Alligator mississippiensis: one gene and its partner. The protein of the gene in region 1 interacts with the protein of each later gene in a biochemical or structural test. Links are inferred from orthologs where the notes say so. Each region holds a gene or a part of one and is shown on either strand. Other genes may lie near its edges.

What was found.
Region 2: the proteins of RNF114 (region 1) and XAF1 form a complex in vitro, tested with the Homo sapiens proteins (2 studies listed by BioGRID). The link is inferred for Alligator mississippiensis from reciprocal best matches to the Homo sapiens genes RNF114 and XAF1.

What each region holds. Positions count from the first base shown.
Region 1 is NC_081832.1:13,431,628-13,443,164, reverse strand, and holds the start of RNF114 (E3 ubiquitin-protein ligase RNF114), read left to right. Parts: upstream 1-6,361; coding exon 6,362-6,525; intron 6,526-7,160; coding exon 7,161-7,311; intron 7,312-9,371; coding exon 9,372-9,478; intron 9,479-10,221; coding exon 10,222-10,336; intron 10,337-11,504; coding exon 11,505-11,537. UniProt on the Homo sapiens protein: E3 ubiquitin-protein ligase that promotes the ubiquitination of various substrates. In turn, participates in the regulation of many biological processes including cell cycle, apoptosis, osteoclastogenesis as well as innate or adaptive immunity.
Region 2 is NC_081837.1:9,462,542-9,474,628, forward strand, and holds the start of XAF1 (XIAP-associated factor 1), read left to right. Parts: upstream 1-6,348; 5' UTR 6,349-6,521; coding exon 6,522-6,718; intron 6,719-7,980; coding exon 7,981-8,116; intron 8,117-8,625; coding exon 8,626-8,682; intron 8,683-9,336; coding exon 9,337-9,532; intron 9,533-10,930; coding exon 10,931-10,998; intron 10,999-11,767; coding exon 11,768-12,087. UniProt on the Homo sapiens protein: Seems to function as a negative regulator of members of the IAP (inhibitor of apoptosis protein) family. Inhibits anti-caspase activity of BIRC4. Induces cleavage and inactivation of BIRC4 independent of caspase activation.

The DNA of each region.
Region 1 (11,537 bases):
GCATAAGGCTACTGTCACTATCAACACAGCACAAGCCTCACACCCCAACCTGCCATGGGTAAGGCAGGGGAACCAGGCAGCCGGTGTCCTGCTTCTATAGGATGTCATTGATACACGCTCGAGATCCTAGGCTGAGGGCCGCACCCCTGCTACACAGGAAGGCAAACCCCCCAGGCTGTACCAGTCTGACCATGGGGTAACATTTTTTCCTGACCCTGAGTATCAGTCTGACCCTGAGCAAAGGGTCAAAAAACCCTCTAGCCAAGAGCCTCTGGCTTTGGTCCCAACAGGAGCATATGCACCCCCCAAAGTCCCCCCAAGCTCGGCTGTAGCCAACACCCAATGCCCAAGTCTTAAACCCCTCTGACACATGAAGCAGAAGGGGGTGGGGGAGCGACTAGTGAAGCCCAGAAATGTGGGAAATACTTAATGGTTCTAAAGTCACGATGCCTTTAAAGAAGCTTCTGTTTTCATTTGTCTTCTGAGTCCTTGGAGGTTCCCGTTGGTCTCATTCCTGATGTGTTCTGCAGCCACAAAAGTTGGAAGTATTTTAATGGAAACTGTGAGTCTCATGGCATTATAGGACTGGCAGCTGAGGCTTTGGGAGAAACATTAAATTATGTGGGAGTTGTCAAAAAACTCTCAAGAATTGACAGTGGGGGGTGATATTTGTTTTTGGGGCATCCATAGCACTTCAGTGTATGCAGTACAGCAGTGATCCTCAGTGCATCTGCCTGTGGGGTGACAAAGGATGTTGCACGTGAGTGGTAGGAAAGAAAAGTTTAACTAGGGCCATTAGGTTACTAATCCGGTTTGAACTCTCAGCGCTCTGGGATTTTTAATGACTCTAAATAGTCAGGTCTTTGTACTCTCATCTGAAAGAGATTAGGCCACTTCCAGCTGCATAATTTCCTCCATTCTCTCCACCTGGTTCAGGGCTGACTCATGAGAAATAACAAATTGCATCACACCCTGCTCTCTGCTAGGTGTTCTTGCATGGCTTCTGTTCAAGTACTAACACAACCCTATTTGAACAGTGAGAGGTAACCATACCATAGCACATTAAAAGGGTAAAGGTGCAACATATTAATGAGATACTTATGTTGTCGGATGGTAATTAAATGTGTGCCCATTAGTGATCATGTTTGGCAACATGTGGGGCATTTTCTGTGTTTCTGCAAGTTTAAATTCCATAGCAGCTGAGTTTGGTCCAGTTTGGCAAGATGTAGACTTTGGTCCAGTCTGGCAAGATCATCAAATTCCACTGAGAGTCAATTCAGCACATAGAAATCTAAATCCCTGTTGAGTTCCAGATCAAACTGGATTAGGAGGAAGGGGTTGTGGTGAATACATCAGCCCAAATCCACAGAAATATTTAGGCTCCCATTCAAATCAGAGAGAGCTAGATACCTATGCAAGACTTAATTGCCTAAATATCTATTGTGAATCTAGCCCTGTGGTTTATCTGTGATTAGAGCTAATGATTTACTTCCTAAGGTAAAAGAAATTTATTCCAGCATAAGCAAGACAAAAAATTAAGTGCTCTTTTAAATAATGCAGGATGTAGCTACTCAGTCACAACAGAAAGCAATTATTGAATCATTATACAATTATTTTATAAACTGATTTAATATCTACTTATCTTGAAAACCACAGAATAAGAGCTGCATTACCCCTTTCTAAAAGGTCAATATTTATTCCAGAGCCAGAGCAGTCTTGAAGGTAAATGAAGGGGAAAATAGAATCACATTTTGCTACTACAAGACACTCAAAACATATGTGAGTAATAACATAATGAATAAAATGTGGACAATCTTCAGTCCTGGGGCTAATGTCAGAAACCAAATAGATTCTGTTTGCCGACACCAATTACTTACACTCTGCTGCTTTAGCTATTTTTAAAAGCATTTGTTTGCTTTCAGTAACATGGGAACATTTACCTCTTGGTCCTCTTAAAATCAGCCTGGGTCTAACCAACTCCAATTTCCTTTACATTCTGCCTGAAGGGAGTTGATTTTTAACCTAGAAGTCTGCACTTTTTCCACTATATGAACCATAATAGGTTTGTTCTTCTACAGCAATCAATCACTTTTTAAGTTCTTAGCTGTGGGTGAGTGTGCTTTATGGCTGAATCAAAGCTGAGTGTTTTGCCAGAACAATGCTGAGTGTTTCTCAGAAACACAGTTGTTCTCTCTGCAGCTTCAGTGCACTGTTTCATATACAGCAAGAGACTCCCATCTGATAGAGCATTTAGCGAGCATGGTATTCTGGAAGCCTGCATCATTTTCATCAGCAGCAATGCAGAAATGAAATCTAACTTACATGATCCAGGTATCAGGAACCATGTTTGACATGATAAAAGCTCATACTGAATTGGAAATATTAAACTTTTGCAACTTAGTCTTGTTGCAGCTGGTTTACAAATTGAAATGGGAGACCATCTCTCCCCTTGGGTGTACACGTGTAATAGGGGTATGACAAGCACAATTGTGATAAAAGAAAATAATTCTTCTGTCATTGGCAGTGCGTTTATGGCTTTGATTTTCTAATACAGCTAGTTTCATGACAACTGTCACTTGGCACAGTAATGGAAGCAGTTGGCTTCACATATACAGAATGTTTTCTTCTTTTATTTTTCCTAATTTACATTCCACACCACCCCCCTTCTCTCTAACTTCGTCCCAACCAAATGTTAAAAAAAGGTTAAGTTAAAACTCATAGAGTGGAATAGAGAACTGGGAAAATAGCTCTGTAATGCAAAACATGTATTGCAGTGACTCTTGGAAGAAGAGAGGCTTCTTTCTTAGATGAAAGGTATATAATTTTTCTATTCATTCAGTCTAAAAAGTTCTCTTCAGTACACAAAGTTTTCTGAATTACTTTGGTCAGTCCTGCATGGCAGAGCTGAAATGGTGTGTGTATAACTGATGGGCAGGAGTACAAGGGAACCTGATTCTGTATTCATAGATTTCATAGACACTAGGGCTGGAAGGGACCCCGGAGGATCATCGAGTCCAGCCCCTTGCCCCAGGAGTAGGAAATCAGCAGGGATCATAGGATCCCAGCAAGATAAACGTTCAAATGTCTCTTGAAGGCATTCAAAGTATTAACAGGGCTGTTGCATGACCGACTCTTGCCTGGTAGGATGAAGGCAGCCACAGTGTAGCTCCTTGGACACTCATTGTTCCCTGTGCCACTACCTCTTTTTTTTTTTTTATCCTGTACTGTATAAGGATGCAGGTATGCAAAGGATTTGCCTCTTATTCTCGCCCTTGAAACAGAACTACTTTGGACCTGATTCAAATCTCATTGAAGACAATGGGACTCTTTAGACTAGCTTTCAGGTCAGCTTTCTATACTTAGCACTAGCACCCACATATAGCTTCTGCTCACACCTGGAGTGCAGCACCTTATGCTTCCTGCTGAACAGTGCAAAAGGACTTACAAAATCAAATCCTAAAGCATAAGGTGACTTGCTGTGAATAGTAGCCAATATCTAGTATTTCAGGGGAAAATGAAACCTCAGTCAGTATTCAGCATGGGGAAATTAGGCAACTAAGCCAGGAGGTATGAGATTTGGAGATTCATATTTTAGCAGCACCACAGATATTTTCTGGCTTGTAAAATCAAGATAGAGTTTCAGTCCCTGTTGCTGAAAAATAAAGCAATTTATTAGTGGTAAGACACATGCACAGCTAGGTGAAAAGGAGCTCTCAAAGAGTAGTTATCAATGATTTGTGGATGCAGGGAAAGCAGTTGGCATGATATAACTTGACTTCAGCAAGGCTTTTGATACCATCTCACACAGCATTCTTGCAAGCAAGCTAAGGAAGTATGAGCTGGATAAATGCACTGTAAGGTAGATAGAAAGCTGGCTTGATCGTCAGGCTTAACAGGTAGTGATCAATGATTCAATGTCTAGTTAGAAGTCAGTATCAAGTGGAGTGCCCCAGGGGTCGGTCCTGGGTCTAGTCTTGTTCAGTATCTTCATTAACGATCTGGAAGATGGAATGGATTACACCCTCAGCAAGTTCACAGCTGACACCAAGCTGGGGGTAGTAATAGGGTAGGTCTAGGATTTAGAGTGACCTAGACACATTGAAAGACTGGGCCAAAAGAAATCTCATGAGGTTCAACAGGGACAAATGCAAAGTCCTGCACTTCGGTGTTACCAGATTTGCCCATCACTTTGGGGTGTGCGCATTTATTAGGGATACGTTTCTAGGGTCTTTGTAATTTAATTAATATGCTGCTTCTGTTACTTGTGTTTCTATACAGAGCTGTATCTTTCCCTTCTGCAGGTCCTCACCCCCAATGGAGCTATCTTGTAGGACTCAGTTTCAAGGGTTCCTCCAGCCACCAAATTCATCAAATACACACACTAACGTGACACGCCTGACCCGGCCAGGTTGATCAGCATGTACAAGCTGACACCCTCATATACCAGGAATCAGTTCATTAAGGTAACAATAAAGTGCAGGCAGACACAAGCACACAGGTGAACAGAATACCTCTGAATCCGGCTGGGTGGCCAGCTGACACCCTCATGGGCCAGCATTCAGTTCATTAGGGCACATCTGAGCCAAACTGGGTCAATCAGCCTATACAAGCTGATCCCCTTATGTGTCTTAAACTCAGCACATCCCAATCTTTTGCCCTTACTTTCCTAGCACTGATAGCCTCTTGATGAGCAGTGTTGCTGCAGAGCAAGTGGGGAAGGGGAAGCAGAGAAGAAAAAATACATCCAGTTACCACTAGTTTGACTATAAAAGTTATTTATTGCTAAGTATATGAAATTTATGACGGTACTAGTAGTAATAGACATACAAGGAAAAATGAACAAAAATGATTACAATATTACCCTGTTTTAATTGAGTATTTGGGGAAACCTAGCTCAAGCTTGACTAATAAAATTCAGGTTCAGAAAGCTATGCCTAGAGAGAAAAAGAAAGAGAGAGCGAGCGCGAGCTGGGATCTCACCGTTCCAAGGCACTTGGGCGGTTTGTTGACAGGCAAAGTTCCTAGCACAATAGTTGAAAGTTAAACAGGCGACCGAGAGATGATCTGTTTCTCCCAGCTTCTCAAGAGCAATAGCGGATGGTGTCAGAGAGATTATTCTCTCTTGAAGCACACTGCTGCTTTACAGCTTTCTTGTACCCTTATAGTCCAGCTTCTTCAAAGCATTTGTTTAATTGTGTAAATCAAGAGGGTCCCAAGCCATCATTGACAGGGAAAATCCTGTTATATAAGCAGTTTCAGTTTAGATGAATTACCTTTTTCAGTGACAAGGGATTATCTGGTTTGGAACATCTCCAGAAACTGATTAACAACCAGGAAAAACATAAAGTTTTAAGGAGTAACCAGACACGTAGGAGCCAGCTTGAAATTATTATGAATATAGAAGATATACTGGAAGGGATACCACATTGTTTCTTCTCAAATGGCCTAGCTATGCTTGTACTGTGAAGTCAGCATCAGTGTTTTGTATTTTACCTGTTGTGAATAAGCCTCAGCTTCACATGACTTTCAGATCTTACTGTAGTCTTTTAACGTACTTAAGGGGATTACTTGGAGAGTTTATAAACTTTGTGGGGAGGACTTGCACCAGTCATCTCAGGAAAAGTATGACAGCATTTGTGCTCAGGGCTCCAGTGGGCTGGACCCTGTGAGGAACCCTTAACCATTGTTCAAATGTTGCCTGTACCCTCTCTGACTCGGTTTCTTGCCTCAGCATTCCCTAACCCGGCAACCAAGTTTTAGTCAATTAAGTTTAAATAGACCTCCCATACTGGGACCTGGGAATGTACGGCCAGAGATGCCTATTCAACTTTTCTTCTGCTTAGTTTTGGTTAGATGAGGGGTGGGGGGGGGGAATACAAAAAGTCCTTTGTAAGTCCAGCAAGCTGGGTGCAAGGGCTCCCTCAGGAACACAGAGCTGACAGGTAACATAGGACACAACAATCCCATGCATCGCTACAGGCTTGGGACTGACTGGCTAAGCAGTGGCTCTACAGAAAAGGACCTGGGGGTTGAAATTATGGAGCAATTGGCGGTGCATAAAAGCATAAAACTCATGACAAACCATCCACTTAACACCAACAGCCCATCTCAGCCCCCCCAAAAGAGACAGGATAGGAGGCTGGGGCTGCAGCAGTCGCTGAACCCAGCCAGCTCCACACCGCCCTCCAACACGGAAGCCCCGCCCCCTCCAGCGGCGCTGGGCGGAGCCAACTATTTTGCTTCCCCCCCCCCGCGAGGCCCAGAGGCGTGGGGAGGAGCTACACTTCGCGCATGCGCGTGGCCCTGTACGGGGGCGTAGCCGCGCCGGCGCCTGCGGGCCACCGTCGGCGGTGGGAGTGGCATGCGGAAGTGCTTCGCGGAAGTCAGGCGGCGGAACATGGCGGGGGCGGACAACGGCTCCCGCTACCCGGCCGCGGCGGCGCCGCAAGACCCGCTATCGCGTTTTCTCTGCCCCGTGTGCCTGGAGGTCTACGAGAGCCCCGTGCGGGCGCCCTGCGGACACGTGTGAGCGGGGCGGGCGCTGTACGAGCGGGCGGGGGGAGCGATCCACCGGGGCGGGGGCCGGGCAGCCCTGTGCGAGCCGGTCGCGCCCTCTCGTCCAGTGAAACCCGTCGCCCAGGGGTGTCCCCCCCACCCCGGGCCCGTTTACCCCGCGGTGTACCCCCCCCTGCCCCGCAGGACCTGCCCGAGCCCGGCGGGGTGTGCCGGTGCAGGAAGGGGTGGGTTTTGTTGCCAGTTAAGTTTCGGGTTCCTGTCATGAGAGAGCCCCTGTGTTTGCACGGCAGCGCGCCCTGCCCTTTGCCGTCCTCGGCTTTTGTTGCTCGCGTGGGATGTTTCTGAAGCCCCAAACCTTCCAGCAGGAAACACTTTGGCCATAAATTGGCCGGAGCACCAAGGGACGGGGCCGCACCTAACATTCACGATAGCTGTTTTGTTCTTGAAACGTAGCCCTCGATACCAGTTTGTCCCTTTTGAGTGTGACATAGGTAGGGTGAAGGTTTTTGATGTGCGTTGTCCCTTGTGACTTCCCTTTCGTTATTGGCCAAATTTAAGGTATATCCGTGAGGGTCTCGTTGGGAACGGTGCAGGCGTTTTCTACAGCATGCGTTTTTAGAAACCTTGTATTTCTTCCCTATTAGTTTTTGCGCTCCATGCCTGCAGGAATGTCTTAAGCCGAAAAAGCCAGTGTGTGGAGTCTGCCGTAGTACCCTGTCTCCTGGCAGCACAGCTCTGGATCTGGAAAAACAAATTGAAATGACAGAAACTGCTTGCAGTGGCTGCAATAAAAAAGTATGAAAGCATTTAAAAACTTCAGTACGCAATTCCCTATTTAGCCACACCTGGAAAATAACATTTTTCTTTTCAGCCTTCTGGAGAGTCAGCCATCAAGATTTTAATGTTGTTAAATAATGCAGAGAAATAATGCTTGGTAGCACACCAATGTCCTCTCCTCCTCCCCACCCCAGCCGTGTCTTCTGTTTCTTCCTTTGAGAGGTGAACTTCAGTTTGTTAGCTGATTACTTGCCCCTTTATTTGAAGTATGCAGCAAACATGCAATGTAAAGATGTCATGGGAACTTGTGCGCGCACATTTCTGCAGGGAGAATGCTGTTTTATAAATGCAACGTTTGTCCCGGGAGAAATCAAGTGAAACCTGTCTGGAGAGTCTGTTGGACTGATTACTGACAGAAGCACCTTTCTGATAGAGTTATTTGAAATTGTATTCAGTATATTTGGGGTAGTTTGCTATGGTGGTGCTGCCTGGTATCTGGTAAAAGTCATGTCTTCTCCAGCTTCTGCTGTACAGATAAGAGTCTAATGCTGTGGAAATATGTAAAATGTAGACATAAATGTTATCCTTCCATGATATTATTAATACAGAGCCCAGACTTCAGACGTTGCAGCGTAGAAATTATAGAGCACTGCTGTTACGATGGCAGTGCTGTAAAAATAACAAACATTGATTATCTCCTGATTACTCTGCTACGTGACCAATTGACTTTTTGATAGTCAGCATAGCTTAATAGCTAACATAGAACTAGCTTCCACCAGATAAAGCTAAAGCTAATTAGTTAAAAATCCTTAACGTGATAGGGTTCCTTCTAGATATACCTTATACAAATTCCTACCAACTAAAACTTTTTTTTTTTTAATTGTATGGCTTGCCTTTCATGCTGCATTTCCTGTAACTTGGGTCTAGCCAGTTTCACTTTCGTTTCTAGGCAGTTTTGTTTTCTGACTCTTGGGTACTAGAAAAAATGCAAGTATTCAAATTTGTAAAAAGGTTGATTTGTCATAAAAGAAAAAACTGTAGCCTCCATATTTTACTGTCTGAATAAAATATAAACCCTCCAGATTTACCACTGTTTTCTACCAGAGTCTGCCACACACATTTGTCAGAGTTCTGGAAAGCATCAGTATTCAAATACCTTCAATTCTTATTTAGTTATAGACCTCTTACTAGGTTTCTTTCTCAGTTTGACACTTGTCTTATCAGAATGAATAGAGAAACGAGTTGCTAAATTTAATAAAATCTTCTTATATACTCTTTGCAATTAATCAGAATAACATTAGCAGTAGAGGTACACTGATGCATTGGCTCCCTTACTGCAGAGACCTCAACTGTCTCCCCACCACACCCCTTCCTTCCTCCCTGCTTCCCCCCCCCCACCCCGAGCAGACTTACCAGCCAGACGCTGCTCTCCATGTTGGTGGGCTTCATATTAGCAGTCGGATCAACATTGGCCCAATATGGCTCATTAATAATTGGCCATCAGTATCACCCCCAAAAATCTTTATTGGTGCACCCCTGATTAGTAGGACATATCAATACTAACATTTTGTTTAACAAGGAATCATTGTACCCTATGAGAGGAAGAAATGGTTACAATGTAAGCTTGTGATCATAAGTATTTTTCTAGCACGCTTAATTTACATCTGGCCTAATACTCTGTTGTGTTTACTTTTATACAATATATTGGCTAATGATTCAGTAGCTTGTCTCTATTTGAGCCCATAACAGGGAAGAATGGCAGGCAGAGCTGGAACGTTGGCTTGGTTTAGTACAAAGTAGAAATTAGTTTATTTTCCTTTTGATGTAGAGGGGAAAAAAAGCAAGAATTATGGTACTCGGGTGAACAGGGAGTCTAAACATTATATTATATCATAATGTATCACAAGTAGCATGTTAACCTAGTGAGTAGCTTCTGTTCAGAACAGACTGCCTTGTGCCACAACATTCAGTTTTCCTTATTTTAATGTTCTCTGAACAGAATGTTTTCTGATTCCTGTGATTTGTAGTTCCTGTACTTAACCTTAATAACCTTCACATTCTGTCTCTTGTTTGCGTAGATGTACCTTTCAAAGTTACGCAGTCATGCAGCTTCTTGTTCAAAATACCAGAACTATATAATGGAAGGTGTGAAAGCTGTAACTAAAGAACCACCTTGTAACACCAGGTATTTCTGTTTCCAGTCATTTACAGGGAGGTGGTTGGGTAAAGATTTTTGATGGTGGAAGTTTTAGTTAATGCCAAAACTTGCTTTCCTGATTTGTTTTTATACGTTTTGGTGCATTTGGTGTGTTGCAGGCACTTTCTTGTGCAGCATGTGAAAGTACAAGCAAAGACTGTTAGATCTTCATTTAGTCTAGGGGGAGTAGTTCTTTTAATGCTGTATTACAATTAAACTAGGCTCTAATACAGAAATGATATCGCCCAGGTGCACTGCTCTACTGACTTAAATTGCCCATGCACAAACTATTACAAGATCAGGGTCCTGGGTAAGGCTATCTACGTTTTATTTTAGTTTTAAACTTGTTATTCTGTCTCTGATTAATTACTGAAATGAAATGAGAAATGACTACATTGAACTGGTCACCCATATTGTAGACTGTCTGGCAAACTTTCATATTCTTCACAAAAATGGTGCAGACCAGGAAAGCAAGCTGAACTTGATATTTTTGTAAGGGAATAACTGTAATTGCCAGATGTATTAACTTTGCCCTTTGAGATGTCATTTCTTCACTGATAGAAAAAACAAGTTCTTAAATTCAGCTTGCTCATATATCACACAATAAGTGGTGACCCTAAGTGCTCTTTATTTAAATATTCTCTCTCAAATTACCATGAGTAGCCAGTCTCTCATTAGGTATTAACTTTCTAAAATGTAAACACAATCTTTTTTTTTTTTTTTTCCCCCAGGAATGTTCCAAATCGCTTTACCTTTCCTTGTCCTTACTGCAGTGAGAGAAACCTTGATCAGGAAGGACTAGTTGAACATTGCAAAAAGTACCACATCATGGATGCAAAACAAGTGGTAATGCTTACAGTATCAGATTCAGTATAATGCTGGTGTTGCAGAAATATGCCAGCAGCCTGAAGCTAGTTTTAGCATTAGGTCCCTCGGTGATTTCTGCTCGGGGACCTTAGACACTTAAGTGTATGCCTGATTTTAAACTGCAGGTATTCCTTTTGAGTTAAATAGGACTATCCTTGTGAATAAAATTGTGTGTATACAAAAATGTTAATGTTTGGATATTACTCTTGTTTTGAAGATCTGGGCAAATTCAAAACACGCTTCTCGAGGAGTCTGTGGGGAGGTAGACAAGTTTTCAGAAAGATATCAAAGCATCTTTTAAGTGCCTATGCTCGCATTTAAAAAAACGTGCACTAAACTAGCCATCTTAACCTCTTGAAGCTACAAGTAATGTTGGAATGAAATTTTGACATCCAAGCCTTTTATGTACCATTCCCTAAATCCTGAGCAAAAGTATATAACACTGTCTGATGTGTAAACTTTTTAATATTGTTACAAGCATTTACACAGATCTTTACCTACAGATATGGCAGTAAGTAGAATAAAAACAGCAAAACTTGAATTTGGCTCTAACAATTAATAATTGGGGTGTAGTTTTGAAAAACTTCTCTAGTTTTAATTTACAAAATCACAGTCTCTTTTTCTATGAAGACATCAATATGTTCTACAGGAGTGTTGGTGTGCAGATATTTTATAATCTGTAGAAATGAAGGTTTCTAAAAGTATTTTAGAAAGCAAACTTAGTTCAGTATTTTGCCCTCCACGAGAGGGAGGCTCAAACTACCAGTCTTACTTCAAAGTCACAAACTTCTGAATTATGTTAATTCAGTATCTGAGGAACCAATTGGTTTATGTAGTGTTCTGTGGCTTGACAAAACACTCTCAATTCATTTTGCATACAAAGTGAAATTCTGGTTATATGAACTGTGTTCATAAGCTTCACAATCGTATAGAAGCATTTTTTCTGTTTCTTTGGCACTTTCCTCTCTCAATGTTTTTTAAATTGGTTACTTAGAGGCAAAGACCCTGGACTTCAGGAGGGAAATATGCGTGCTAAAAATTGCCATGAAATAAGAAAGGCCTCTAAAGAGGTCTCTAGTTCTGAGGGTGTGCTTCCCAGCTGAACATGAAGGGAATTCAACATTGGCTTTTGTGGCTTTTTTGAAAGGTTTGCCCAATTTGTGCCTCAATGCCATGGGGA
Region 2 (12,087 bases), on another chromosome or scaffold:
CTCTCGCTCGAGAAGCCCGATTGTAGGACTGGCATCCAGGAACTCCCCGTTCTGACGCCAAATGGCTTTAAACAAGTCATTAAACCAGCCTGGGCCTCAAGCTTCCCAGTTTGCAAAGTGAGAAAGGGGTAGTATTTCAACAGGAGAGTGTGGGGGGTTATTCTTAACCCCTCCTCCATGTGCCCTACAAAATACAACCACCCCAATTCCATGGAAAGTAACTCAAAACCCCAAGCATTGGAGATTGGGGTTTCTTGAGTAACTGAGTCATGGAAAATCAGAGCAAAAAAGGTGTGAGATATGAAAAAAAGGACAAAGGGAGCAACCATCCTCTGGCTATCTGAACGGGAAGTGATTTACCTGAACGGGGCGACACGGGCAATGCGCCTTTAACAGGCGAAGGGAAGGAATCCTGGGGCTGGGAGGTTCCCGGGGTTTCCAGCAGCAGTTGGGCTTGGGCAGTTGCACGGAAAATACTGAAAAAAAAATTAACAGCGGGATCTTTTGGGGGAAGACACCCTTTGGGAGGAAAAAGGAGGCAAAGGCAGGGAGCCAAAAACCAATAAAATAAAATAAAAGGACACCAGCAGGGTTCCACGGTGCACATCAATTTAAGAGGCAGCAGGAGAAGTTTATCCCAGCACAGATGCAGGGCAAAGGCATTAGCGTGCTACCTGAACCATGCCCTCAGATGCACCAGAGTGACGGACAACCTGACGATTTGCTGATGTGCAGCACTTTGGCAATGAAAATAAGAGAGCCCGATGGGGAGGTGAGAACGAGACCTTCAAACAGGCTTGCTGTGCTGAGCCGGGTGTAAAGGGAGCGGGGAGCATAAGTGAATGAACTGCAGGGGAGGAGAGGGGTTTACAATGCAGCCCATGCCAGAGAACTGTGCTGGGAAGCTTGAACTTGATCCGGCAGAAAGGAGGCCAGAGGAACATGTTTGATTTGGCAAGGCCCCTCTGCTCCCCATCCCCCACGGGCTGTGTATAGCCCGGAGATGCATTGGTGCGCTGTGAGGTTGTCAGCTCATTCACGTAACTGGCCCGGAAATCTTCCCGAGCAGCCTGCCAAGGGAGTGGGGAGCCCTGGCTGCCTGCTTGCTTGCTACCCAGCTGACAGGCAGACTACAGGAATCATAAGGAGCTGCTGAGAAACGCTCCTGCTTACAAAGACCCGGCACCAGGAATTTGGGAGGTTTCAAAACAGGCCTTCAAACAAAAACCTCCCACCTGCTGAATTTCACTGCAGGCTAATTGAGCCTTTACAAAAAAAATATCATTGCCTTCAGGCAGCACCACGGACAACAGCGGGAGCAGAGCAGTGTTTCCAAAAAACCCCGAGGCTGCAGCCTTTAACTGGTTTGAAGTGGCAGGTAGAATTGGCTTGGGGCTGCAGGTACCATTTAGGAGCTGCAGCCAGTGACCGTCCTCGTCCCTTCTGCTGGACAGCAGCTTTCGTAGGATACTTCTCAATCAGTACGTTGCTTGAAGTTGGTCAGTACCATTATCCCCATTTTACAGATGGAGACACTGAAGTACAGGGAGGGGATGCGATGGGGTTTCAAAGCACACTTATGAGTCAAGCTTCATGGTAGTCCTAGGATTGTTATTGCCATTTCAGAGATGGGTAAACCAAAACCAAGAACATCTATAAAGATCTTCCCCTTGAGAGAACTTGGGCAAGGACTCAGATCTCCTGACTCCCGAGATCCCATCCCCTTATTTTATGGGCATAAAAATGAAAGTCAGTTCGACTTGAGCAGTCATTGTAGATGTGTCAACAATCGTGTTGGATGTTGCAGCGAAATAATTAGCAGCAGCTGATATGTTTGTAGTGTCTGAATTAAGTAACCCGTGCATCATCAGAAGAAAAGTCTCTTTGAAAGGGAAGAGTTTCAAAACCACCCTAACGCCAGAGAATAATTAGGGAATAAAGGCTATTTAGTGTAACCTAGCTCATTTCCAAGAAACTACTTTTTAGGTATATCTTGCTGAACCACTGCTTCCACCGGCTAATGTTATCTCTAGACAAGAGTGGGCTTTGGCAGGGAGGTAGCAAGTAGCATTTAGAGGCAGAAATGATTTCCACCCAGCCCCTACTTTCAGTCCAAACAGCGAGCGACCACACAAGAACAAACTCTGCAAACAGGATGTCATTGTGCCAACACAGCCAGATTAACCTATGCAGCTGCTAGCTCCACTCCAAACGTACTTGTGCTTCAATTTGTTTTAAAGCAATTAAAATGTTGCAGCAGCACTAGTGCAGCATTTGGAGGTACAGAAACAATGGAAATAACAAAGGACTGCAAAATCTCTGATACTTGACAATGAAAAAGAAAAAAAAAGGCCGTCCCTGAAACTTCCTAGGTTTTGGCAGAAAAGGAACATACTATCCCGTCGCGTGAGATTTACATTTAAAAAACAACCCGTTCAGAACTTACCTTTGTGATGCTTGACTTGATCGGTCACCTAAAACAGATCTGAAACCATTATGTTATGCACTAGGAGGTTTACACAAGGCTTAAAAGTAAAAGAATGATTACTAGAGTTCACGGGACATCACTTGTTCCTTACCTTGTTGTTTCTCCTTACTGAGAACATTTTACAGCCTCTGCCAGTCCACTGTGTTCCTTTAGGAGTATCCTTCAGCAAGGTCCCCAATGCAGCATCTGATATTTTTCCAAGTAGAGCTTTTGAGCCTCTTAACTTCAAGTTCTTTTGGTACAATCCCTGTGCCCAACAACTGGCTATACAAAAGCTCTCATTATGAACCTCAAGTCAATGGGGGTTTCCTCTGTCACGGTGCCATGCTGATCAGACTTTTGAGCCCCAGGGTGGTACTTCCAGTACAGTTTAATTGAAGCCCCAGGGAATTTCAAATACTGTACAGCAGAAAGACCGGGGGGAAAAGAAGTATTTGATTGGTAATTGGCAATAGACTGTCTGCCTGCCTGCGACCCATTCCTTCTTGATGACTGCCATCTCATTTACATATTTTTTCAAAAGCCTTTTCTCTGCCTTGTTACATAATTTGTGTTGCAAAATGCAAACAAACACTAATTATTTCCAAGTCTGGACAATCGGTTACTCGTTTCTTCTTGTTATTTGGAAGGGGATAGGAAGGACAAAGAGAAGAAGGCATTTGGACGGGCAGAAAATTAACCAGAGAGATTTGAAGTCTGATTTGGTAAGGAGAGTGTTTTGTACTTGTGTCCTGTGTAGCATGAGGAGGGATCCCACAAACATTAAAATACACGATGTCTTCTAGCACCCGAGGGAACGAATAGTATCATCCCCATTTTACAGAGGGAAAGGTCAAGGCTTACATTTCCAAAATGCCCACTAGTTTGGGGCATCCAACCTGAGACACTAGGGACCCGATTCCTCATTACCCTGCACCTTCTTCTGGGTCTTTCTCCATTCCTCATCACTGAGAAAGTGGGGCTTTTTATACCAGTGAAAAGTGAACCTAGTTTTCAGAAGCACTAAGCACATACCGGCCCCCTGGCTTCGATTCAGCTAGTCAAGCAAGGGAGAAGTGAAAGTCTCTGCAGGAAAGAGACTGTTGCCATTAATTAGAAAAGGGATGTCTGATATATTCATGTCAAAAGAGTCATTTGCAATGAAACAATAACCACAAGGCTGCACAAAGACAAGAGCAGAACTCCAGATTATTGCAATTATTGCATAGACAAGCCATTCCCCTGGCTTGTCTAGCAGTCTGCCTGTCCATCCTTAGGACGGGAGTCCCTCAGAGCAGAGGCCATCACATCTTTTATGTCTAGAAAACAACTAGCAGATCATGGTTGCTAAACCAAACACTAAATACTAAATACGGTCCTTTCAGTGGACAGAATGCTTTCATACATATTTCACATTAGAGTTCGGTCTATTCATACAGAGCTTACAAAGAAGTATTCAGTTATTAAATCAACAGTTGTAGAATTCAACAAATCAATAAGTCGTTTAAAATCATCTGTGTTGCCGTCTTGTGCTGTGGTTATAGCCATCGATGACGCATCCTGTCCGTCACAAGCTTATAACCCGTGTCAATGTGCTCTTTATACACCGTGTATAAATGGTACCTTAATATAAGTACTAATTTGTTTCCATTATCAGCGCTGAGGGGATCTTGCTTTCTCATTCACCAATATGGGCTTTTCAAGCCTTTGATTCCCTACAGTGTCCTGAAGATAACCATAGCAGGAGAGAAATGGGAGAGGAATGCAATAGGCAGGAATGCCATTACTATCCCATCACTTACCCCTTGTCCCTACCCCCAGAAAACTTACAGCTTAAAAGTCCTTTATTATTCATCCAAATTTTATTGGATCCATGGTCAAAAAGGCACATCCTACCCCACGCGTGTATTCCTGCTCCCAGAACAGAGCCACAGCCCAGTCAGCCTGCTCCTCCAGGAAAAAAAGGGAATATGTCGTTTGCCAGAAATGTCAAGGCACAAACTGTGCTGGGCCAAGGCTAAGCGATGATTTCCACTGTCAACAATTTACCTTGCCATCCCCTCCTCCTTTCAAACTAGGGACATCTGCAAGCAGAAGCGGCCCCCTCTCGCCCTGGCCATCACCGGTCCTAGGGTAGGGCAAAGAGGCGTTTCGATGCCTCCACGTTAAACGTTGGGTCTTGTTCACAACTCAGATCACTTGAAAGGGGCTGAGGGTTACTAGAGAACCCAAACCCCAGTGTGATTTTGGTGAGCTGGAAGTGAGATTCAGGGTCTGGCTCTATGGCAAGGCAGCGTTGCTGTTAGGGCACGGCACCGATCTGCAGCTCCGATCTATCCTATCCCACGCTCGACTTCAGCCTCGATGGGGGACCCCCGGCAGCGCGCTCGTCGTGCCTCCGTTTCCAGTGGGGTGATACAGTGCCCAAATGTCAATGGGAAACTTGTCTTGGAAATTAGGCTGTATGCCTTTTTCTGATTGGCTGAGTGAACAATGGCCTCTGTCACATGGTCACAGACAAGTCAGCTGTAAAAACAACTGAGGCTCTTGCTTGGGGAGGCAGACGCCATGGGAGATGTCTAAGGAGGAGGTAGTTTTTCCCAGGCCCAGGAGCTATAGGTAACCTTCCCTGCGAGTCAGAAGACCAAGGCCTGCTCTGCGCGATTCAGGGCCAAAGTAACTCGGGGCAGGTTAACCGATCCATTTTTTTTTTTTTAGTTTTGAATGATGCTTTCTCTTTCTCTCTCTCTTTCTTCAGCAAATCTGTTTCCAATTCAGCCTCATCTCCCCTTCTGTTCTGGACTCCCACCCTAGGTCCTATTCGTGAGGTCAAAACCTTATGAATGGAAAGAAACTGGCTGAGCTTTTGTAAGGAAAAGGTCATTAAGGTTTACTATGAGGGCTAAGCTCCCTCTAAAACACCCTAGACGCAGAGCTTTTTCTTTTTGGTCATCTTACTTTCTTTCTTATTTCTTTACCCAGAGCCGAAGTAATACCGTAGACGTTCACATCATATCAAATCTAGATGCTGCCTCTCCTAGGGCAGTGTTTCTCAACCTTTTAAGTAGCAAGTACCCCCTAACTTCTGAAAATTTCAATAAGTACCCCAACATGGGGATTTTATAATGGACATTAGTTGGACTTCTTCCAACTAATGTGTGCCATATGTGGGAAGAAGGGCTGTGTATATAAGGCCATGATATGACAGAAGTCTGATCTGGTGTGGGTAGGGTTGCCAACTTTTACACCAGGGTTGCACAACTCAAGTATGGACTTGGGCTAGAGGTGATGTTGGCCAAAGCTAGGAGGGCTGAACACAAAATTATTACTGGGGAATTTATTTTTTTTTAATTGCACCAATTTTTTTGCCATAGATTTAAGGGTGAGAGAGAGAGGAAAAGAGGGCAAGAGAGATTGTGTCGGGGTACCCACATACCCCCTGCCTGTGTCTCACATACTCCCAGTGGTACACGTACCACAGGTTGAGAAACTATGTCCTAGGGGACTAGATGCTGCGTCTGCCTGGGGCACAGACCGAACGAGCCGAAAGATTTATTCCACGTCCTGCAACAGGGATCCTACAAAGTTTGCCTAGCAGAGCTCAGGGAGACAGAAATGAAAGGGAGATGGAGGGATTTCGAACTCCCTCTTGTGGTCTCCCAGGAAGGCACTCTGCCTCGCATGGAGGCGTCTGTTTAAGGCTTTACCTGCTCATTTGTGTCTTCAGGAAGCAATCATGATCAGCTAAGGAGGGAAGAAAATCTATGGCAATAGAAAGGAAGGAGAGGAAAGGGCCAGATCCAACATTTGACAGTTCATAAATTGCCTAGAGGCAGCTTTGTTATTAAAACCAAGCAGGTGAAATATCCCTCGTCCCCTAACAGCCTCAAGCAGCTACAGAAAAGAGTCCTGCCTGCTAGACAAAGCATATTCAAACTCATTTGAGCCAGAGGAAAGAGTAGGGCAAAACTATCTTCCACCTCCCCGGGTCATCTGGACGCTACGTTTCTTGATTGAAGCTGTTGTGGGAAGGAGCCGAGACAGTAACTGGACAATGCCGCTCCCTGTTGGTTCCCACTCTCCTGCTTTGCATGGAGAAAAAAAAATTGGCCGAGCCCTTGTCTGGGGTTGGTTATTGGGACTGGCAGTTTCAGTTTCATTTTTCTCTTGTCAGATTAAAGAAGTGAAAAAGAAAGAGGGGCAGAGCCCGAGAGCAGCCATGGAAGACGAGAGCAAGTTCTGCCCAAACTGGTAAGAAATCCCTACTTTTTGCCAAGTGCCAGTGATACCCGAGGGGCACAGGGGCTTTGCTGATCTCCTTTTCGGGGTGGGTATTGCACGCTTCTCTCCCTGAACAGAGAAAGCCAAGGGGAGGCCAAGGAAACAAATCGGAACAGCTGATTGCTTTGTGTTGCCCTTTAACATCTAAGGATTTTGAAGACAATTTCTTTTCCCTGACTGACGGCTAGATCCCCCAGGCAAGATCAAGCAGTGCTTCTCTGCTGCCTGCTGTGTCCCTTGCCCTGCTGCTTAGGACCTAAAAGATTCGGCAGAGAGGGGCAGCTTGGGTCAGCAGTGCTGCGTGTCCAGCACCCAGGACAAGCGGCTTCAAAGAGGGGAAAGAGAGCTCCATAATTATGGACTAACCTGCCCACCGGGGAGGTGTGCCCTAAAAAGGCGGGGGCTGCATCGGGGTCAGCAAAACGCGGGCCAGATGCGGCCCGCCAGGCCACTCTATCCAGCCTGCAGGGCCTCTAAAAAGTTTAAAAAATTTATATTTATCTGCCCTGGCTGCCTGTCATGCGGCCCTCGATGGCTTGCCAAAACTCAGTAAGCAGCCCTCCGCCCGAAATAATTGCCCACCCCTGGGCTACATGCAGTCTGTTATTCCCATCAGTGATGAAGCTGTGGGTGTTTTCCTGCAGTCTGGAACACAACCCAGTACGAACTCGGTCCCTGGCTCAGTTTCCCCTTATGTCCAATGGTTCTTTCTGGTGTCAAGGCAACTTAGCTCTCCAGCTATAAGCCAAAAAGGTCACTATTGTGGGGAGCAAATTGTCCGTCCCTCTGTTCTCCCTTTAATATCTGGGGTCCCTTCACAAAGCAATAGCTTAAAGAAACTAGCACCCAGCCTCTACTATAGACCTCCAGCCCTGGAGCCACTGAATACTGTCTGCGTTATCTCTGGAACGCTGCGAATCCAGATGTTGCTGGTCCCCTCTGATCATAGGGCACAATCCTGCTTTCCCACCAGTGTAACTCTGTTGGAGTTATTCCTGATTTGCACTGATGTAAAAGCACTCTCTCATTTTGGACCCACATCACCTGACGGGGCCCCTGTTCCCTTAAAGATGTCCTCAGCAAAAGAGTAAAGCCTCCATAACAGAGCTGAGTCTTGGAAGGCTTCATTTGAACAAGACACAAGTATAAAATACCTGATGTCAGTTTTCTGGGATCGGCCAGGTGAATCGTATCCAATCCCATAATATTCTTTCCCTTTCCGTGTCACACAGTAAACAAGATGTGTCTGCTGCCAATTTCTCTCTGCACGAGATCCACTGCCGACGGTTCCTCACTGTCTGCCCAGACTGCAAAGAGGCTGTTGTTCAAAAGGAAATGCGAGAGCATCAGGCAAATGCACACAAGCAAGTGAGAGCTCTTCACCTTCCAACAAGGACTCGGACTGTCAGTTCCTGCAGTTAGGAGATGCACGGAAATCATGCCGGGCTGTGCTGCTGCATGGCGAACAGCCACGAGCATCTGTATTTGTTGAGGAGAAGATGGGTCAGGGCCCGATGCAACACTATAGCTCTGTCCACAGCCCCCTTCTCCCCAAAGGGCAACTGTGCGCTCAAGTCAAGGGACTCCGTCAGAGAACCTGCTCTTTTGTATTTAAGTTAATCTCCAATAAACACAGGGAATAATCAGCTGGTAGCATGATTAACTCCTGCCCGAACAGGAAAATCCTACACATTGCTCAGTTCCTATAGGAACAAGGTTCCCTATTTGCTTTCCAAAGATGGAAATAGCAGGGAGTCCATCTTGGACGATTTCACCTACAGAGGTAGCAGGTTCATTAGATAACTTGAAATATTCTCTATAAGCTGTCAGGTATTTTCCTTTAAGTATGCTACTATTCTGTCACCCTTTTCATTCAGGTCAGGTGTAAGCTTTGTCACCAAAGCCTGCAGCAATACCAGCTGGAGAACCATGAGGTGAGTCCATTGCTCTGTGCGCGAGACCAGAATCCAACCTGGCTGATCTCTCTTAGAGACACCACAAAGAGATGTCTGCAAATTAGTGCCTTCCCCAACATGGAACAACCCAGAGTCAGCAATCTTAATATAGTGCCATTTGACCCAGGGTTTAATGTAATCCATCTTTTTATATTAAAACAAATGTATGCCCTGGTCATCAGACTGTCCCTCCACACCTCTTCCCACCCCATTTCTGCAGGGAGTTTCTTAGAGAGGACCTTTCACTTCATCGCTTCTGTGGAGTTCACCTTCACATGAAGTGCGACTGTAGGCATACCTGTGGCAGCTTTTATCTAGCTACTGTAACACCACCAACGACCATATGGCATCACTGGCTTCAGGTTGTGTAGTAGCCAAAGTGCATCCTCTAGGTTTCTGGTGGGCTTGTACTCTTGGTTGCTAGCCCAGGCCAAGGCCACTGCTTCTTCACTTCTAGTTTTACCTGCGTTCACTAAATATAAACCTAATACACTATGCCTACCTGCACCACACACCTGCGTTTTGGTATGTAGACACGGTCTTAGTGGAGGACATTCTTAAAACCAAGTTAGGCCTGTTGTGTGGGGGGGGGTTTCCACTCCTGGTGTAACACTTGCGACTGTTCACTTGCAGACCATGGAATGCAGCGAACGAGTTATGAAATGCAAGTTCTGCGAGCTAGAAATGCCCTCTGCTAAGCTGCAGGAGCACCTCGATTCCTGCGGTAGTCGAACTGAGAAGTGTTTCGGCTGTAACAAATACATCATGTACAAGGACCTGGACCAGCACAAAGACATCTGTCGTAGTGGTGATGGGCTCTCAAATCATGGTGAGATTCACTCTCAAATTAATAATGTGACTCCTCTAGAAACCTTGGTTCTTCTAAGCGCAGGTAGCCCAAATTCCTTGTCATCACCCACAGCATCACGTTACTACAGTATCCGTTAATCACATGGAAAATTCCCCACCTACACTCTCCGAGTCCCAGTAATGCAGGTTGCCTTGTGTAATGTGGCCCCTGCCACACATTACATATATTATACAATTAACTGTGGTTAATCGCACAATACATTTAGACTGGTCACTTGTGCAAAGTAAGAGCAGCCACAGGTGCAGGGTAATTATGCCATAAAAATCTCCATCCAGCTGTAAAAAAGAGCCAACCAGCTACAAAGCTAGTGCTTGAAAATGTGTAACAAGTTTATAGCTGGCATCTATCCAGCTTTCATTTGAACATGTGAAAGCGCCCTGCAATTAGTATCACAAAGGATTATTGCTCATCTTGACCAGTTGAAGGACCACATTTTATTCTGTATTACATCAGCGAGTATAAATCCAGAGTAATTTTGATTTGCTCTGGATATTTATAAGCATAATTGAGAAGCGCTGAGCCTTACTTACATAGCTTGGCTCCGACACATAACAGGATCTTAGTATGAGTATCACACCCACCTGCTTTTTAGTTTCAGGGGCTAGCATCCCCTTCCTTGTTCGCCCCCAGCTCACATGGATTTTAAGGAGAGTCTTGGGTGTGCACACACTGGGAAGACAGGGCCCTTGGTACATCAGGGCTCACTCCAATCCTATTCAACTGATCCCATCTTGAGTATAACAATCTAGTTCCTAATGCAAACTAGTGCAAGCGACTGAACAAGCACCTTTCCCAACCTGCTTTGGAAACGCACTACATACAAGCTGGAAGCCCAGCTCACACTGTCATTTGGGTTGGGCATATTTACCAACCTTGGCTGCTCATGTAATCGGGTTCACTTCTCTCCTGCTATCAGCCCTTTGTAACAGAGAGCCACCTTCTTCCAAAAGTCAGTATAATCAAAGGGTTAGACAAGACATCAGAGGCCGTCTAGTACAACCTTCCCCTGCCACAGATGTGGGATGCGTTGTTCCTAAACTAATTTAGGGGCAAACAAAGAATTGAACCCCTCTCTCAAATCTCAGCCAACAGCCCTCTCCATTAGATCACCCCTCCTGCCTAACCCTAACCCTTTCCCAGCGGCTTGGAGATGACCTTTCCATTAACACGAAGGAGTGTTTTCCGGGTTGTCTGGTTACAGAGGCACCGAAGAACAGCACAGCTGAGGAAGCCCGTCTTCCTACTGAAATACTAAAAACGAGGCACACAATAGAGGCGATATGTACTTGCACATTATTTCCATAACCAGTCAGTCCCACATTACCAATCAACCTCTCCCTCCTTTCTTCCCTGAAGGTCTCAGCGACAAACTTTGTCAGCAGTGCAATAAGTCATTCCCAGATGACCAGTTCTTCCAGCATCTGGTAAGTGACTGGAAAGCCAAATCGGGCTGGCCCTCATTTCTGACTGGGCTCTTTTTGTGGGAAGCGACGTGTTGGGTAGAGTAGGACAAGGTCTTTTGGCTGCTTGCTCTCCGCAGCTTGCAGGTTACTGCCCTGTGAATGCGTTGCAAAAGCAACGCTGGCCCTTGTGTCCCGAAGGCCTCGCTGTTAGTGCCAGCACCAATTAGTACCTGCAAGGCTCTTCTCTTACAGCTGAAGCATCATGCAACAGGGCATGTGGGAAGCACCAGTACACCCCTTTGCCTTTCCCACTGTCTGCCTAGATAATAGCAGCTGCAGCTGTTCCTATTGCTTAACCACTGTAGCAGAGAAAAGCCCCGGTTCCTGCTGGGCAGTTGCCTCTTCAGAAGACTGCCATTCTTGAGTTAACAAGAGAGTTAACAAGTTAACTCTTGAGTTAACAAGAGATGTTGCCCTGGCTGCGGTGGTTCCCAAGACAGTTCCTCCACTCCTCTGTGGAGCACCCATCTAACCTCCTCCTTCTGTAAAACAACCTGAGGCTCACCCCTTCCCAAACAGTTTTGGCTTTGATCTGCAAGCCCTTCTGTCAAACTCTTTCCCTTCCCCACTTTTTTTTTTTTTAGTTTCAACTTATTTTCCATCTTTTTTAATTCTTTCCTAGGTTATGTCCAGACACATCCTACTACCCAGCAGAGGCACCCATCCTCACTGTGCTGCTTGGTCATTTCCTTTGCTAAATTCCCTTATTCTTTTGGATTTTCTTCCATAGAGCCAGTGCAGTCCACTCGCTAAACTGGTGGGGAGTCTCGCCAGCCGGTCAGCTACAAATCCCAGCCCGCTTCTGCCACCCACTGCTGCTTTTCCAGCTACCACTTCATCCCCCGTGAATGCGGCCGCGTGGAGGGATGTCCGTCCAAAAGGGAAGGACAAGGACTTGTCCTCTGCCTCCCGGACCTCACTCAAACCACTCAAGAACAAGAAGTCACCTGGCCATCTGGCTTTCTCGACCACTCTGGATCCGGTACTGCCTCAGGCCCTTGAAGACACAGGGAATTATGATATATTGGTGACCTGTGCCCGTTGCAATAT